4 linked regions of the Coturnix japonica genome follow. The protein of the gene in region 1 interacts with the protein of each later gene in a biochemical or structural test. Links are inferred from orthologs where the notes say so. Each region holds a gene or a part of one and is shown on either strand. Other genes may lie near its edges. The genes, in order: UBE2E3, RNF14, NEDD4L and RNF25.

The links.
Region 2: the proteins of UBE2E3 (region 1) and RNF14 form a complex in vitro, tested with the Homo sapiens proteins (2 studies listed by BioGRID). The link is inferred for Coturnix japonica from reciprocal best matches to the Homo sapiens genes UBE2E3 and RNF14.
Region 3: the proteins of UBE2E3 (region 1) and NEDD4L form a complex in vitro, tested with the Homo sapiens proteins (3 studies listed by BioGRID). The link is inferred for Coturnix japonica from reciprocal best matches to the Homo sapiens genes UBE2E3 and NEDD4L.
Region 4: the proteins of UBE2E3 (region 1) and RNF25 form a complex in vitro, tested with the Homo sapiens proteins (2 studies listed by BioGRID, with this or other methods). The link is inferred for Coturnix japonica from reciprocal best matches to the Homo sapiens genes UBE2E3 and RNF25.

What each region holds. Positions count from the first base shown.
Region 1 is NC_029522.1:12,888,580-12,892,777, forward strand, and holds the start of UBE2E3 (ubiquitin-conjugating enzyme E2 E3), read right to left. Parts: upstream 2,860-4,198; 5' UTR 2,687-2,859; intron 1,571-2,686; 5' UTR 1,562-1,570; coding exon 1,368-1,561; intron 1-1,367. UniProt on the Homo sapiens protein: Accepts ubiquitin from the E1 complex and catalyzes its covalent attachment to other proteins. In vitro catalyzes 'Lys-11'- and 'Lys-48'-, as well as 'Lys-63'-linked polyubiquitination.
Region 2 is NC_029528.1:1,070,947-1,075,121, reverse strand, and holds the start of RNF14 (E3 ubiquitin-protein ligase RNF14), read left to right. Parts: upstream 1-1,369; 5' UTR 1,370-1,484; intron 1,485-2,237; exon of another isoform or gene 2,238-2,371; 5' UTR 2,372-2,380; coding exon 2,381-2,534; intron 2,535-3,018; coding exon 3,019-3,164; intron 3,165-3,486; coding exon 3,487-4,008; intron 4,009-4,175. UniProt on the Homo sapiens protein: E3 ubiquitin-protein ligase that plays a key role in the RNF14-RNF25 translation quality control pathway, a pathway that takes place when a ribosome has stalled during translation, and which promotes ubiquitination and degradation of translation factors on stalled ribosomes.
Region 3 is NC_029547.1:653,725-657,283, reverse strand, and holds part of NEDD4L (E3 ubiquitin-protein ligase NEDD4-like), read right to left. Parts: intron 3,328-3,559; coding exon 3,254-3,327; intron 2,147-3,253; coding exon 2,086-2,146; intron 1,760-2,085; coding exon 1,700-1,759; intron 1,173-1,699; coding exon 1,065-1,172; intron 533-1,064; coding exon 436-532; intron 1-435. UniProt on the Homo sapiens protein: E3 ubiquitin-protein ligase that mediates the polyubiquitination of lysine and cysteine residues on target proteins and is thereby implicated in the regulation of various signaling pathways including autophagy, innate immunity or DNA repair.
Region 4 is NC_029522.1:24,278,128-24,282,338, reverse strand, and holds the start of RNF25 (E3 ubiquitin-protein ligase RNF25), read left to right. Parts: upstream 1-1,364; 5' UTR 1,365-1,419; coding exon 1,420-1,457; intron 1,458-1,535; coding exon 1,536-1,610; intron 1,611-1,681; coding exon 1,682-1,784; intron 1,785-1,876; coding exon 1,877-1,944; intron 1,945-2,601; coding exon 2,602-2,671; intron 2,672-2,802; coding exon 2,803-2,874; intron 2,875-3,045; coding exon 3,046-3,186; intron 3,187-3,525; coding exon 3,526-3,615; intron 3,616-4,039; coding exon 4,040-4,045; intron 4,046-4,211. Other genes in the region: STK36 (serine/threonine-protein kinase 36), read right to left, coding at 598-738, 1,166-1,249. UniProt on the Homo sapiens protein: E3 ubiquitin-protein ligase that plays a key role in the RNF14-RNF25 translation quality control pathway, a pathway that takes place when a ribosome has stalled during translation, and which promotes ubiquitination and degradation of translation factors on stalled ribosomes.

The sequences.
Region 1 (4,198 bases):
TATATATATATAGGAGGTGTAACTTTTAAAGATTCAAGGCAATTTCCTCTTTTAAATGTCAAATCAAACAAACAAACAAAACTGCACAACAAAACCCACGCGAGCAAGACTGCTTTTTTATGTGCATAGCAAGTGTAGAACATGAGCTGACAGGGACTGCCCCAAAAGCCCATGCACCATTTCTATTAAGCCCAACCATGCTACTGAACTACTGGATTAACCAAAACAAAGGTAAGAGGAGAAAACTCAGCTGTGAGCCTCTACATGATGTACCTCAGGCACTAAAAAGAACACAAAGCCTAACAATAAATTACAAAGTCTACACTGTTTCCAGAACTTTTCCTTCTGCAGCCAAGTCCTATTCCAAAGGGTTTCTTTAACAAACTCAGAAGTCATCAGTCACCCAGTCACATTCTGCAATAATTCTGAGACACTGCAAAATGTATTTACTGAGTTTAAGTACAGTGCAAAGTTACTACAACGTTCCTCAAAGTCTGAGCTACTGTATTTGGGCTGGATAAGCAAAACTCGAGGCTAATGTGGCTTTCGCACAGTGTATTTGTAAATGTTTGTAAAGAAAGGGAACTCCAGGGAAAAGACTGAAAGTTGTGTTTCATCTCAGAAGACAACTGGGATTGAGGGAATTAAAGTTTGCTTTATTTCACACAGCTGAACTTACAGAAAATAATTAGCACGCATGTCTTGAGAGCTGGACTGCCAGTAACCTTGTGTGTAAACAAAAACGCAGCAGATAAAACTAGACAAGGTTTCCTGAGATTCTGATACTTAGAGGCTACACTTGAAGAACCCTATGGTTGGAATCCATGGATCCCACAAGAGACCATTTGCCTGACTTTCTCCAGAAAGCACTGCAGGACAGAACAGTGACTTTAAGGTGCACAGGGCTCTACTGCAATCATAAGGCCTTCAGAATCCACGAGGCTTTTGTGACTTCTGTAATTAAAGAGTACTGTCATTGCACTGCAGCCTGCACTGAAATACACCAGAAAGATCCACCCTATACCAACAAGGTATGTAAACCTGTCTCTGCAAACCAGACACCTGAAGCTTATGCTTTCTCACTCATTTTAACAAATATGAGAGGCACACAGGTGCCCCATGACCAGCCTGAGAGTTAGCAAGTTTTCCAACAACTCCAAAGAAACACGGCCAGCCCGCGTATTAGTGCCCCAGAGGATTTGGACTGGTGAAGGTCCTTCCCAGCAGACCAGCATGCTACAGAATTTTGTACTGTGCTATTTCCCACGTGGCTTTAAAGCAATCCCTCTGCCTTGGGAAGTGCAGTGCAACACTGCGAGTCCACACACCGTGCAAAACCGCTACAGGACGCTGGATGCCACAAGTACCTTTTAGCACTAGTAGATAGCTTAGCAGTAGTTTTGCTGGAGAGTTTGGTGTTCTTCTTCTGTTGGGTGGCAGAGGGTTTCCTTTCCTCCTGCTCCTCAGGTTCAGGTGCCGGGGGGTCCCTCTGGTCAGCATCTGAGCTGCCGCTGCTGGTACTGGGGCTCTCATCATCTGACCTCTGCCTGTCACTGGACATCGTGGGGAACTTGTGGGGAAGGAGGAGAAGAGGCAGTTACTACAGCACGCAGGTCACCCCTCGCCGTCCTGAGCTCTGAAGAACACTTTGGTTGTCGATAACTCTATTTCATGGAGAAACCCACCAGGATCCTCTTCTTTGTCTCATCCGCCAGGGCTGCAACTTGACAGCCACACCACAACATTTACACTTCGGAAAACACCGGCATTTCCCATTTTTAAACCCACTCGCATTTTTGTCATGCTTCAAACAATATGCCAATTGTCGGCTTGGTTCTGAGGCACAGACAGATTGAGCAGGGCACTTAGGAAACGCACATTAATAACTTATGACACATTGTAAATAACAGACCTCCCTGGGAATGTTTTTTAAGGAGTCACCGATACCCTGTAAATATTTACACTGGAACGGAGCGTTTTATTGGGTCCAAACGCCTGATCCCCCCTCAACCCCTCTCTCGGAGGAGCTCCATTGCCAATGAGACTCGGGCTGCTATCAGACCGAAGCATACACTTGCTCTGTGCATTTAAAGGGCTGGGCGGGGGGGGGGGGGGGGGGGGGGGAGGTGGGGGGGGGAGGGAGAACGCGGGTTGTTTGTTTTTAAAGGAAAACCCCCGCGGAACCCGCAGAAGATGCGTCGGGAGCAACTCGGGAAGCGGCAGCCCCACTGCCCGCCGGCAGATCCGCATTGGGCCCCCGCAGGGCCGCCGGGGGGGAGGCAGCCCGCAGCCGCCCGCACCTTCCGCGTCGCCCTCTCGCCCCCCCGCCCCGCTCCGACATGGTGGCGGCGGGGGGAGGGGGCTGCCCGGTGGCCGGGAGCCGCGGTGGGGCCGGGGGCGGCCGCGCTTTGTGGGGTGAGCCCGGCGCGGCGCGGCAGGCGGCGGCTCGGCTCGGCCGGCCCCGCTCCACTCGGCTCGGCCCCGCTCGGCGCCGCGCGTGTGTGTGCACCAAGTGAGGCGTGAACTCGGCCGGCCCCGCGCCCCCGGCCGCCGGCAGGCAGCGAGCGCCGAAAACAAGAACAAAGCTCCTCGGCGGCCCCCCCGCTCCTCCCCGCCTCCCCCCACCGCGCTCGCCCAGCCGCCGCCGCCGCCGCCGCCGCAGCCGCCTCGCCCGCCTCTCGCTTACCTTCGCCGGCGTCCTGTCCCGCTGCTGGGTCGGAGGGGCGGGATGGCGGGGGGCCGGGCCGGGCCCGCGGCGCCCGAGGAGGGGACGGAGACGGCCGGGGGGCTCTACGGCGGCGGCGGCGGCTCTGTGGCCGGGCGGTGTGGAACATTGAGAGCCGGAGCAGGGGGGGACGGGGGGAGGCGCGGTGCGGCCCCGCGGCCGGCGGGTGGCGCTGGCGGGCCCCGCTCTGCGGCGCGGGCTCCCGCGGCGGGCCGGGGGGCCGGGGCGGGGGGCGGCGGGCGCGCGCCGCCGGGGGCGGGGGAGAAGGTCCGGGGTTGGGGAGAGGGGGGGGGAGACCGGCCGCCCCCGGCCGCCGCCGCTGTGCCGGGCTGCAGCCGACAGCGGGGGAGGGGACGGGAGAGCAGAGGGGGCGCTCGCTCCCGCCTGGCGGCCAGCAGAGCGCGCCCCCCTCCGGGCTGGGGTGCGCGCAGGCGCTCTCCCGCCGCGGCCGAGGGCGCGCGTGCTCCGGGCCGGGCAAGGACAAAGCGGCGGCGCGCGGGTGGACCTCGACGGCTGCTGTGCGCGGCGGGGCACGGCGCGATCCTGCACAGCTCCTGAGTGTGGGCACCGCCAGAATCATCAGCACTTCGGTGCCCTCCGCCGGCCGTCCCGGCTGCAGCTCCGCCGCCCGCGGGGTCTGACAGCGGTGTTACAGCCGCCTCGTGCCCCGCTCCTCGATCCACGCGTCCAAGTGATGGCCGGCACTGTGTGCGGTCATGGTGGTTTATTCCAAATTAGAAACACAATTAGGAGTTGCACCGTATGCATCTACGTGCCGAGTTCTGACTGTTATCACAGAGGGAAGGGGGTAGTCTGTATCAGTGGCTGTGTAGGATGGTGGTTGAATTTCTTCCCAGGCCCATCACAGCCGCACCTGAGGAGCTGTGGTCAGTGTGCAGTAAGAGCCATCCACCAATTAGAGTAATGTGAATATTCCAAAGTGATCCTGGAGCAATAAAACCCACCTGTAAAAGAAGCGTTAACTATTTGTGATAAGTACCTGTGCTGCAGATTACAGGGTCCAGCAGAGGGGAAATGAGCAATGCGGTTTGAGTTCTGTTATAGAAATGGACGCAAAACCGCTGTCCAGCAGCTGGGCTTCACCTCAGCACTGTGCACCTCGAGGGCTTTCCTTGCCAATAGTCCAAGGGCTTCAAGCCTCTCTGCTTAAGTTTAGCAGGATCGAGAGGCCACAGGTTGCGTTCTGTAGGAGCTGAACGGTGCGTCAGGGGGTTCTGTTCTCTGGGTAGCTGGAATTAGCTCAGCTGAACAGTATGCTGAAGGTTCCGTGGGTGAGCTGAGTGAAATGGTGGGGAGGAATACCGGAGGTTTGTTTGTTAAAGTGGGCTATAGAGAATTCCCAGATCACCACTACAAGCGATTTGCCCCTGAGGTATGCTGTAGAAAATTCTTTGCATAAACAGTATCTGGCATGATGAGCAATCTGGGCATAATTAGTAAAAGGGAAGTGTG
Region 2 (4,175 bases), on another chromosome or scaffold:
CGGTCAGACCAGCAGTATTTCTTGCCATAGTGATTGTAGCTAGAGGCTTCTGATATTGTTACTGCACCTGCAGAAGCAGCCACGAGCTGTCTCCATGTTAAAGCATGTTCATGCTGAGTCAGTCTTGTTTTGAGAAGGGAGACTGCAAACGCTGTAGTCCAGTTTTCCATGCTGTTCACAGCAGTGCTCATCAGGAAATGCCACTAATGGTAGGATGGTGAGACAGGGATGGGGAGGGAGGCTGCTCCTCAGGGCCTGCAGCATCCTCTATCTGCTTACCTTAGTCTAGCCTGCATTTAAGCATTAACACACCTCTAGGTTTATCTTTACCTGCACCTGAACAGCTCATACTGCCACGAGGTTAGTGGTTAGTGTTCCCATTACCTTTATTCCTTAGTGGGCATCATCACATCACTGATAGCCCCAAATCAGGTTCATTTACCTGCTCTGTAGAATAGCAGCTGTACGCTCCTAACAGCTCAGCCATGGATGTGCTCTAACCATGAAGTAGACGCCCAGGTTAGTTACATGAGCGCTGCCTGCAGCTCGGGGGGTGCTCATAGAAGGAGGGCTGTGTTTCAGCTGCCCGCACTGAGCGCTGACTGATGCCTTCCCAACTCCTTGCAGGGCTGTGCTTGCTGCCATGAGGCCTTCATTTGGAATGCTTGGTTTTCTTCTTTTCCAGGAACAAAGCGTTTTCATTTTCTATGAGTTTTCTGCAGTAATTTGCTTCTAGTACTGATTGTCATTAAACTTGCAAACATGAATTTGTATGTGTTAAAGCTGACGTTGAAACACAGTTCAGCTGTTGGAAGAAATAAATGCACTGGATTCTACTGGATGACTCTGACTGTCTGAAGCCGTTGATTGTGAGGAGAAGTAATGATGGTGTCGGGGGGTGTGAGCGCGGTCTCCTTATTGCCGCTGTTCCAGGAGGCGGGGATGGGTTACGGGTGTGTTATTGGGGTGGGCTACGGGTGTGTTATTGGGGTGGGTTACGGTGTGTTATTGGGGTGGGTTACGGTGCGTTATTGGGGTGGGTTACGGTGCGTTATTGGGGTGGGTTACGGTGTGTTATTGGGGTGGGAGTGGAGCTGAGCTCCGGCTGCAGCTGTTGGTTCGGGCGGAGCTGATGGCGGGGCAGCACAGCTGCACCTGGCGCTGTTTTGCAGCTGTTGTCGTGGCTCCCGTCCATGCGGGGCAGCTCCTGCCGCCTTCCCCGGCCGCGTGCGCTCAGTGACCGCATGGTGCGGGGCGGTACCGGCCCCGCCGAGGGACCCCGCGTTCCTCCCGGCCGCAGGGGGCGCTGTGGGGACGCGGAGCGGGGCGGGCGGAGCCGGGCGCTCTGCGCTGTCAGCAGCGCGGCGGGGCCGGGCCGGGTCGGGGCCTCCGCCCTCAGCCGCTCCTTCCCGGTCCGTCCTTCCCGTCCGCCGCGGTGCCGGCAGCGCCACGTTCCGCGTCCGCCGGGCCGCCACGAGACTGAGGTAACGGGGGGAGCCGTGCCGGAAGAGCGGGCCGTGCCGTGCCGTACTGTGCTGTGCTGTGCTGTGCCGTGCTGTGCTGTAATGTGCCGAGCCGTACTGTGCCGTACTGTGCCGAGCCGTACTGTGCCGTGCCGTGCCGGCTTCGCCGGGACCCGGGTGCTGCGGGCGCCCCGTGCGGCCTCGGCTCCGCCTGGCGCCGTCACTGCGGCCTCGTATCCCGGCCGTGCCGTGCGGAGCGTGTCCGGGCGGCTTCTCTTCCCGGCTGCCTTCGGTTCCGTTCCTGCTCGGTGCGGGCGGTGCCGATCGGACCCGCCCGGGTGCGGCGTGTGTCTGTGCTGAGGGGACTTTGACCCTCCGCTCCGTGCCCGCTCGCTGACAGTGCGCTCCGTGTATTTGTGCGTGCCGCGCTCCGGGCTGGGGACGGATCCGCAGCTGTGCGGGGAATTGCGGCGCCTCCTGCCGGACGCAGCGCGGCTCGGAGCTTCCAGCTGAGACCTGCGGCGCTTCTCTCATCGCTTTATAGAGCGCTGCTCCAGCCGTTCTGTCACTAACTCGGTTCCGTTCTCTTCCGCTCCGTTCTCCCTTCCAGACGCCGTGCCATGTCCCGCTGCCGCTTTCCTTTATCTCTCTGCTGTTCCCGCAGCTGCTCTCGGCCGCTGGGCACCGTTTGCTTTTTGCCTCCTCCACGTTCTGTGGGTGTTCCCCATGGTGTAAATAAAGCTCCCAGCACTTCTCAACTCGGAGACAAAGCCTGACTCTGTCCTATGCTCCCACTGCTTACTTTGGGTCCTGACTCTTCCTGTGGAGGTGTAAAACAGACCCAGACGTGTAGTTTGGATGGGACGCGTTAACTCGGTTGATGCTGTAGAGTGGTGTTAATTCCACAGACCATTTAAATGTCTTCAGAGGACAGAGAAGCTCAGGAGGACGAGCTGTTGGCGCTGGCCAGCATCTACGATGAAGATGAGTTTAAGAGAGCGGAGTCGGCACAGGGAGGAGAGACCAGGATTTGTTTGGAACTGCCCCAGAACTTCAGAGTTGTTGTGAGCGGTGAGTTGTGATGGCTGCTCTTGTCTTTACGTTCACTTTGACCAGGTGATTTTCTGGGGCCTCCCCAGCTGCTCCCATGAGCTGTAGGGATATTTACCTGACGGAGCCGTGTGGGACCCCTCCTTGTGTCCATCGCTGGGGTTGGTGTCGGGGAGGGCACTCAGCCTTTTGGATGCAGCCTCTCCATAGAGCTTCAAAGTCAGAGCTCAGTCATGGTGTTTCTTTGGGGTAATCAAGTCAATATATTTATTATTCCCCTGGGGGTGTTTTCCTTGCACTTGGCTCCTGCAGGATCTGCTATTTCACAGCACTGCTGTGTATTGGTTTAACCCCATACAACCTCATGGCACTTTACTGCACCATTATTTGGTGTTGAATGAATCACTTTAAACTGAGAAGTCTATCAAACATACAGAGGGGTCGCGTGTGCCGTCCTTTGGTTCTCACCTCTTTGTGATGTCTCACCCTGTCTCCATTGGCTCAGGCATTTCTGCAGAGAGTCCGCAGAGCTTTGAATACACCGTTCACTTTCTGCCTCCACTCGTGCTGAATTTTGAGCTCCCACCAGACTACCCGTCATCCTCCCCGCCTGCCTTCACTCTCAGCAGCAAATGGCTCTCCCCAGCACAGGTTTGCAGATCAGTTCTAACATTATAGCAGAGCTTTTGTGGTCATGAGTGTATAATTAACACCATTAGCTGTGGTGGATGTCAGTATAGTAGATGCAGTTATGATGTACGTGGTGACGTCTCTTTTTCTTGGCTCTTTTGTTTCCTAGCTGTTCTTACTTGGTTACCCTTCTGACAGTTCAGTGTGTGCCTTACGAGGCGCTATTTCTATGTCTTTTATGTATTACCCATCAGTTCCACAATTTGAGGTGTAGGTTTGCACCATGGGAGCTGTCACGAGTCCCCAGGACTCACTGAAGTCTGCACTGGTTTCTCTTTCCCAGCTCAGCGCTCTTTGTGAGCATTTAGACAACTTATGGGAAGAAAACCGAGGCTGTGTGGTCCTGTTTGCCTGGATGCAGTTTCTGAAGGAAGAAACGTTGAATTACCTGAATATTTCATCCCCATACGAGCTCAAAATGCGCCAACAAGGGAGTACATGGGGCAGGACGCCTTCGGTGCCTCAGGATGCCAAGGACTGTGTTGGTGCAGTGGGCTGTGCTGCGGCTGAAGAAGGAATTGATAAGAGAGCTGTACAGGACGTGGAATCTTTGTCCAGCCTGATTCGGGAGATCCTGGACTTTGATCAGGCTCAGAGAAGGAAGTGCTTTAACAGTAAGATGTACATGTGCAATATTTGCTTCTGTGAGAAGCTGGGCAGTGAATGTATGTACTTCACCGAGTGCAGCCATGTGTACTGCAAAGCCTGCCTGAAGGACTACTTTGAAATTCAGATCAGGGATGGGCAGGTCCACTGCCTCAACTGTCCAGAACCCAACTGTTCTTCTGTTGCTACTCCTGGTCAGGTAAGGGCTGTGCTGAACCCAGTCTGGGTTATCATGGCGAATACACACAGGGAAATTCTTTCTCTGAGCCACACAGATTCCTCCAGGTTATAACTGGATTATCAGGTACATATTTTGCCTGCTGGCAAAATGGTGGCACTGAACTGATGTCCTGTTATATTTGGTGC
Region 3 (3,559 bases), on another chromosome or scaffold:
GGAGGCTGGCAGCTCTGCATGCAGCAGTAGGGTTGGAGCTTTGTGATCCTTGAGGTCCCCTCCAATTGGGGCCATTCTGTGATGAAGCACTAGCACAGGCTGCCCAGAGATGTGGTGAATTTCCCATATTTGGTGACATACAAGGTCAGGCTGGACAGGGCTCAGAGCAACCTGATCTAGCTATATGAGTCCCTCTTCATTGCAGGGCAGTTGGACTAGATGACCTTTAAAGGTTCCTTCCAACTCAAACGATTCTATGATTCCATGAACAGAACTTTGTTTCTCTTCCAAGCGCCCCCCAGTTTCTACAGTGCTGTTGGCATCCAGTGGGAGAAGCTCTATCTGGGAATAAATGTTGGCCATGCCTGTACTTCAGTGGTGTTTGTGCTCGCCACCTGCAGTGTGTGTTCTGTGGGCAGAGGGCAGGAAGCTCACCGTAAAGTTCAGCAAATCCGTTCATAGGCACTCGCGATGTGCCAGTAACAAACTGCAGTAAGCGAATGCGTTTTTCTGCATCCATCAGTAAAACAGCCTGTTGAGAAGCAGACAGGGTGACTTTTCATGGCTAAAGATATCTTTGTTAAAATAAGCAAAACAGAATTTATTTGTATTACGTGGTAAGAAATGGATATCTAACTTTGAAGGATGGCCTGCCACATTTTCTCTGGTTAAACAATTCCCTTCTAACAAAGAAAGTGACAATGTCTGGGCAACAGCCAGGAGCTACAACTGCCATTCATCTGTATGAGGTGACTCACTCACAAGACTTCTGGGCTAGTACAGGGAAAACTGTTCTCCTAGTTCTCCTGCAAACATACACTTTTCATAGAAGTAATGCACTTCAGAAAGATTGCAAACCACTTCAATAAAACTGGAGAGACTTTGTCAGTCTGGGTCATTCCGATACAGACTCCAGTAATGGAACTGCCATTTCCAGAATATACCAAAGTATTTTTCCGTAGTTTTTGAGAAGAAAAATGATTCAATAACTGACTTCACTGCACACTAAAGGATCTTTGACTTCTAGGAATCGTCAGAGAAACCAAACATGATAAGGGTGTTACCTTCCAGAACCACTGGATGACGGGATGATTTGGGCAGTAGCCATTTTTGTAGATCGTGTGCTGTCTCCAGTCATTAACATCGACATCACCAAGGCCACACATCAGTAACTAGATATGGAAACAATGATGTTAATCAAAGATAGTACCAGTATCACCCTGAAGGCTTCATCAGATAAACCACCTCTCCCTCTGTTGCCTGGTCTCTCAAACAGTTAATGCTGTACAAATACAAATACAGACATAAAGTGGCACTGAGCTTCTCTTCAGGACAATTCTCAAGGATAACCCCACTTTACTGGAGAAACACTATGCAATATGAAGTATGTATGCTTCATGTGATGGCATCTTTTACAGCACATTTGCTGAAAACATGGCCAGTATATGTCATTAACTCAGCAAACTACTTGCATTCTTTATGTATGCATGTACTAAACCACCTCAGTGAGTAACTGATACTTTTTGTACTTTTACTTGATTGAGAGATTTATTATTCTGGGCAAAAAAAATCCTCATTTCCCACTAAAACAAAGAACCTTTTTCTCCAAACTCCATGATGACCTAATGAATTGAGAACATAATGCATCTCTGCAATGGGCATTACCAATCTGTCATCTCTCGACATCAAGCAAACTCACCTCTAGTTCATTTTCATCAAAAATTTTAATCAGATCGATAGGAAGAAGCTCTGTGAATCCCTAGGAGAAAAAGTAAAATCAGTAAACTATGTGTAATTACGTGGTTTTTTTTTTCTTCTGATAGAACCTTTGCCTTCAGGGAAAGCTGTTAGCTAAGTGATGGAGGGCAAAGAAGGGTTTGGAAAATGAAATATACAGTTCCTGAAGTATTGAGTCTCTAATTTAAAAACTGCTATTTCGAGCTCAAATAATGTCAACTTGAATGAGAATGATCTTATGAGTAACAGAACCTGTGTGGTCATGCACAGCTTCCCACTCCCGTAACCAGGCACTGCTGTATGCCTACATAATTTGGGTAAAGAAAAGGACAAAAAGGAGAACCTTACCTCCAAAAAAGCATTCATTTGTTTTTGAACTCTGTTTACAAACCTCCACTGGATGACCAGGCTGTGGGAGATAACAAACATAAACACATTCATTAGAAGACTAATTTGCAACCCTAACAATATCAGCTTCTCATTTACAACTTTAGGAACCTCTCAGTCATATTCTTATGTTTGAGATACTGAGTTGCTTTTTATTAAATTATACAGCCTACAAATTCATTACTATGTTCTATTCTAAGCAAGATTGTAGTCTAGACCCCAGGTAATGTACTTACTGTTTGAAATAAGTATCTAAACGATGAGACTTTTCCTATTATTCTAGAGCTCTAAGCAGATTTGTAACTACAACTGCAGTTTCTCTCCTTTTCTCTTTTTCTCTTCTTTTTCTTTCCTTGTGCACCAACTAGAACTCCTTAATCATAACATAACTCTTGGGAAAAGCATTGGAAAAAATTAAACTGCATCAAATGTTTGGAAATGAGTACACAGTAATCCTCTTAAAGGAGTACTTAAACACGTGCAGAGTTCCTGAACCCTTCCTTGAATAAAAACTGAAGGGAAAGCAAATGTGACCTCAGCAACGTGACGTCCTATTTTCACTCTTTTCTCTTGTTAGTTTACTGTTCTGTTCTGCACTTATTCTTCATTTGCATTCCATGATAGCACTTCAGCAGGAAAAACTGCAGCCCAGGGTGGAAATTCACCACTTAGGAGACCTACAAAGCAGAGGCCGCCAGTGCACAAAGTGAGGCATGAAATTGGGCCAGATTCATATCCTGCTGTAACACTGTAGTTCTTGTACCCATGAAAGGCCATTTTTTTTCATCAGTTTTGGAGGGTGCTCAGAATGAGTAACTTAGACTGGTGTCTGCAGTCATTCAGGGCAATTCCATACCTCCTTGAATGCTCCTTATGCCAGCGCATCAATACTGTTTCCTACTACATGACATAGGCTGCCATAATTACAGTAGTTCATCGAACAGCAAAGGTTAAAATCCAAACTTTCTAGGAATGCAGTGTAAACAAACAAACCATGTTAACACAGGGATTTTCTTTTGAAAGGATGTCTGACAATCTCTGTGTTACAATAACTGCGGTGGGGTAAATTCCAAAGCATTACCACTGTGTGTTGTGAAGCTCAGGGTGAACTCTACAAATATATACGTACTCAATGTATTCCCTTTTGTTCTCATTTGTTACCATGATTTCTGACCCATTTGGCTTCAGGTCGACTTGATACGTCTGTATTTTAAAGAAAAAAATAGAATAAAACAGGGCATTATTTCAGGACACATTCCTCATGAAATCCACCACCCATGAGAGGTATTTTACAAGCAGTACTAGAAAAATATCACACATCAATAGCTAATGAGACATCAAAATATTTCATGTTTAAGGGTGACATAATTAGGGAGAAATTATTCTACGGTCACTCTTAAGAATAAATTATTTTCCAACTTCTATTGCAAAACAG
Region 4 (4,211 bases), about 11 Mb from region 1:
AGTGGTGGTCAGCCCTTAAATGAGGTCTAGAGGAGGTGGAGTCAAGCTTCACCCCTTCTGGGAGCACAGCTAAATTACTCTCAACTGTGCTCCCACACCTGACCCGACACTTGGCTCAGCTGATTAATCAGAGGTTCAGGCTGTGATTACCAATGTCCCATATAAACACGCAGCAGAAGTCAGGGAAGTGTAAAGGAACAGGATAAGCATATAATGGTATTTCTGAGCCCAGTGGTAGAATCACTCCCTTGAGCATATTTTTTATCTACTGCCCAATTACTGGAGGGCTCAGACAAATATCAATCATTAGGCCGGGTCACAATCCTAAGTCTATTCCCTCATAAGGTCTCTCCGTGTCCATAGAGCAGGAGTTCCCAATTAAACCACCTGAGGGAGTAGAATACCTGGTGGCAGGTCTGCAGCACTCAACAAGAGTGGAGATACAGCTGGGCACTGAAAAAACCTGGTTAGATAGAAATGCTGCTAGAGCCCTGGAATATTGTCACCAGCATCTCCTGAGGCAGAGGTGACAGCAGATGACAGCCCACGCCCCCACCCCACCAAGCAAAAGTACCTGCCCTGCACGGGTCCCATTACCTCTTTATCAGTCTCAAAGCTGTCGAGCATCTGGATGATGTTAGGATGACGGAGACCTCTCATAATCTCAATTTCCCGCTGCAGATTCTTCAGCTCCTTCTCAGACCGCCCCACCTTGGGGATGAATTTCAGAGCCACCACCTTCCAAAGCAAAGCTGGGATCAGAGCAGTGTCCTGCCCGCGTTGGCAGGGGCTGCATTTAACCCAAGCGGGACTCATTATTTTCTAGGTGAACACACAGAACAAGACACGTTCATAGGGCCGGAGCAAGGAGTATAAGTACTCAGTACTCAGTACCTGAGCTGTGTGAGCAGGACTACAGGCTGTCTTCTAAAGGAAGAGATTATTGCCCTTTTCTTATTACTTTTAGGCTACAGTGGCCATTTTTTGGTCCAGAAGTGCACTGACAAACAGGAGCGGTCCTAGCTGGGGCACCAGGGTAGCAAGGTGGCTGATAACAGGGCATACAAGCTGAAACTGGGGGGGCTGAGCTTTATTAACCCGGTGTCTGGCAGGAGGCTTCTAAGATAGAGCCGGGCTCTTTATAGAGACCCATCTCTCTCCTCACCTGGGCGCTGCACCTCCGCCGCCCCTTGTACACCCGTCCGAAGGAGCCTTCTCCGATCACCTCCAGCACATGGTACCTCTCCATGGCGGAGCTCCGGGGTCGGGCCGAGGTTCCTCACAACACGGACCGACGATTTAAGGCCGCAGTATAACGCTGTTACAGGCCGTGGGGCCGCAGTACAACGCGGTTACAGGCCGCGCCGCCACATCGCCTAGCAACAGCTGAGGCCTTCCGCATCCGGGTCGGCCGTGAAGATGGCGGCGGCCGGCGAGGAGGCGGAGGCGGCGGACTGGTAATGGATCCCCCTGTCCCTCCCTGCCTTTCCCCGGGGCTGCTGCTTGTGGCTTCCTGACCGCTCGGTGCTCCGCAGGGCGCTGCCGGCCGAGGTGGAGGTGCTGGAGTCCATCTACCTGGAGGAGCTGCGGGTGGTGCGGGGCAGCGCGAGGTACGTACCGGGCCTCGCTCCCCGGCCCTGCTCCCGGCCGCCCCTTATCTCTTATCTCTGCCCGCCCTTAGGGCCGAGCCCTGGGAGCTGAGCATCACCCTGCACCCCGCCACGGCCCAGGACCAGGACTCCCAGTTCGTTCGCTGCACGCTGGTGCTGGCCGTGCCCCCCCAGGTAGGCTCCCATCCCGACCGGGCCCCTTGCTGCCCCTTATCTCTGCTTTTCTCGGTGCGTTTGGGGTTTTGTTGCTTGGTTTTGTTTTCTAGTATCCCAACGAGGCTCCGGACATCTCCATCAGCAACCCACGGGGGCTGTCGGATGAGCAGATCCAGAAGTGAGTGGGCAACCTGGTCTAGTAAATGTGTATGTTTGGTGGCCCTGCCAGGCAGGGGGGTTGGAACTACATGATCCTTGAGGTCCCTTCCAACCCGGGTCATTCTGTGATTGTGTGTGAGTGCTAAGAGGGAGGAGAGCAGAGTGGTGGTGTTAACAGTGCTGTAGAGCCTTCTCTTTATGCCTCTAGGGTGCCCTGTCAGCTTAACACATACATACAGCTCTCCAATCACCTTGAGTTAAGCTTTATGTCAGCTTTGATGCTGAGGAATGGTTTGTTCCCTTGTGGTCCACCTGAAACGTAAACTGAAGTCTCTCAGGCCTTCAGAGATGTTGATCCAGGTCTGACAGAGACATCACTGCAACTCATTTCAGTCTTCACACAGCCTGCTGCTGCCTTTGTGCTCCCGTTGTTGGTGCAGCAGAGATCCAGATACCAGTCAATGCACGGCATTAAAGTTGCTCCCACCAGATCAACAAAACCTTAGAGCACGGGAATATGTGCTTGCATCCGCGCTCATCCTACACTGTAGGCAAAGCCTGGTGGATGGCGTTCTTTTTATTTCTCTTGTTATCATGGTGGGGTGATGACAGGCGTGTGGAAGAGTGAAAAGGTGTGGCAAAGTTTGTGTTAAGTATTTGTGCTGCTTTGCTGTAGGATTTTACAGACCCTCAGAAATGTTGCTGAAGCCAGGCTGGGGACAGAGGTGCTGTATGAGCTGATTGAGGTGAGAGCTGGGGAGAAGGGAGGCAGCCAGATACGCACACCATTCTTTGACTCCCTTTGAGGTGGGAGAGCCCTGAGTCTGGGCCCATGTGGAGGCCAGTGAGAAAAATGCTTGCTTTTCTGCTTTGACAGAAGGGGAAGGAGATTCTCACTGACAACAATATTCCTCATGGCCAGTGTGTGATCTGCCTCTATGGATTCCAGGTAGGAATACATATTCCAGCTCTTCGTGCTGGCTGAGAAGTGAGTCAGATGAAGCCCAGTGGGAGAAGCTATGTATTTCTGCCATCAATAACATCCCTGCTGACATGGGAATGAAAACCCACCTCAGCTCGGTGCTGGGAACACCCTGTGAACACCCTTTTTCCTCCACAGGAGAGAGAAGCCTTCACAAAGACCCAGTGCTACCACTACTTTCACTCACACTGCCTGGCCCGCTATGCACAGCACATGGAGGAGGAGATTCTTATGCAGCAGGAGGAGAGAGAACAGCACCTGGCACCTTCCCCCAAACAGGTATTTGGCTTTGATCCCCTGCACAGGCCCTCATGAGTTCTCTGTCACTCCCTGTGGGATGTGGAACAAAGGCCAGCCTGACTCAGCAGCCATGTGCAGCATGGTTAGCATGGTGCCTGTGTTGAGAGAATCAGTGGAGATTGGACCAAATGAGCCCCAGGAGCCCTTTCCAATCATAATTAGAAACTGGAATCCCCCTGGGCCTCCCTGCCTTAGTAGAAAAGTGCTTGTGTTTAGCTGAAGTAGGCTGCCCTGTTTGTTTCACTTCCACCCTGGGGATTCTCTCGATGTATATGGGCTGGGCTGCTGCCTAGGGTTTCACCTCTCACCTCCCTGCAGAAAGTCGGCGTGCAGTGCCCTGTCTGCCGGGAAACCTTGATTTATGACCTCTGTGCCCTGAAGGCAGCGCCACCACCACAGCACCCACTGGTAAGAGATGGGGATTCATCTGCCTGGCTGTGTCCACTCTCTGGGTAGCTAAAATGTCATCTGGGACATTTTATCCATGAACAAACAGTGTCTGCTGGAGCTGATTAATGTGCTCTGCCAGTTACTCTCGGAAAACACACAAACATACAAATTCCATCTTGTGCTCTGTTCAGAGGGGGGACCACTGCAGCCCTTCTGTGTGATAAAGGCAGAGGGAAGCAAAAGATATGTAGCTGTTGCATATGGAGGCAGTGAGGATATGTAGTGTTGTTGGCTTACTCTCCAAAGCAAGCAGATATGGTGGGAGAGAGAGGCAATTCTGCCATCAAGTACTGAGTGCTTGATTTTCTATGTTCTCTCTGCTCTAAGAGAATAACTGTAGGTTTTCTTAAATATGTCCCTGTACCCACTGAGATGTTATCAGTTTCAGGTGAGTGACTCCAGCTTGTGTGGTGAGTTCTGGGGTTCTTCGTTTTTAGCTGCTCTGCATCTTGCTCCAAAGCAGGAGGCCCTAAGTCAGGGAATAGTGGGTGTTCCCTCTCTCTGTGTAAGTACTACACGTGAATCTGTAGGCTCAGTGGGTCAGATGTTGTAAA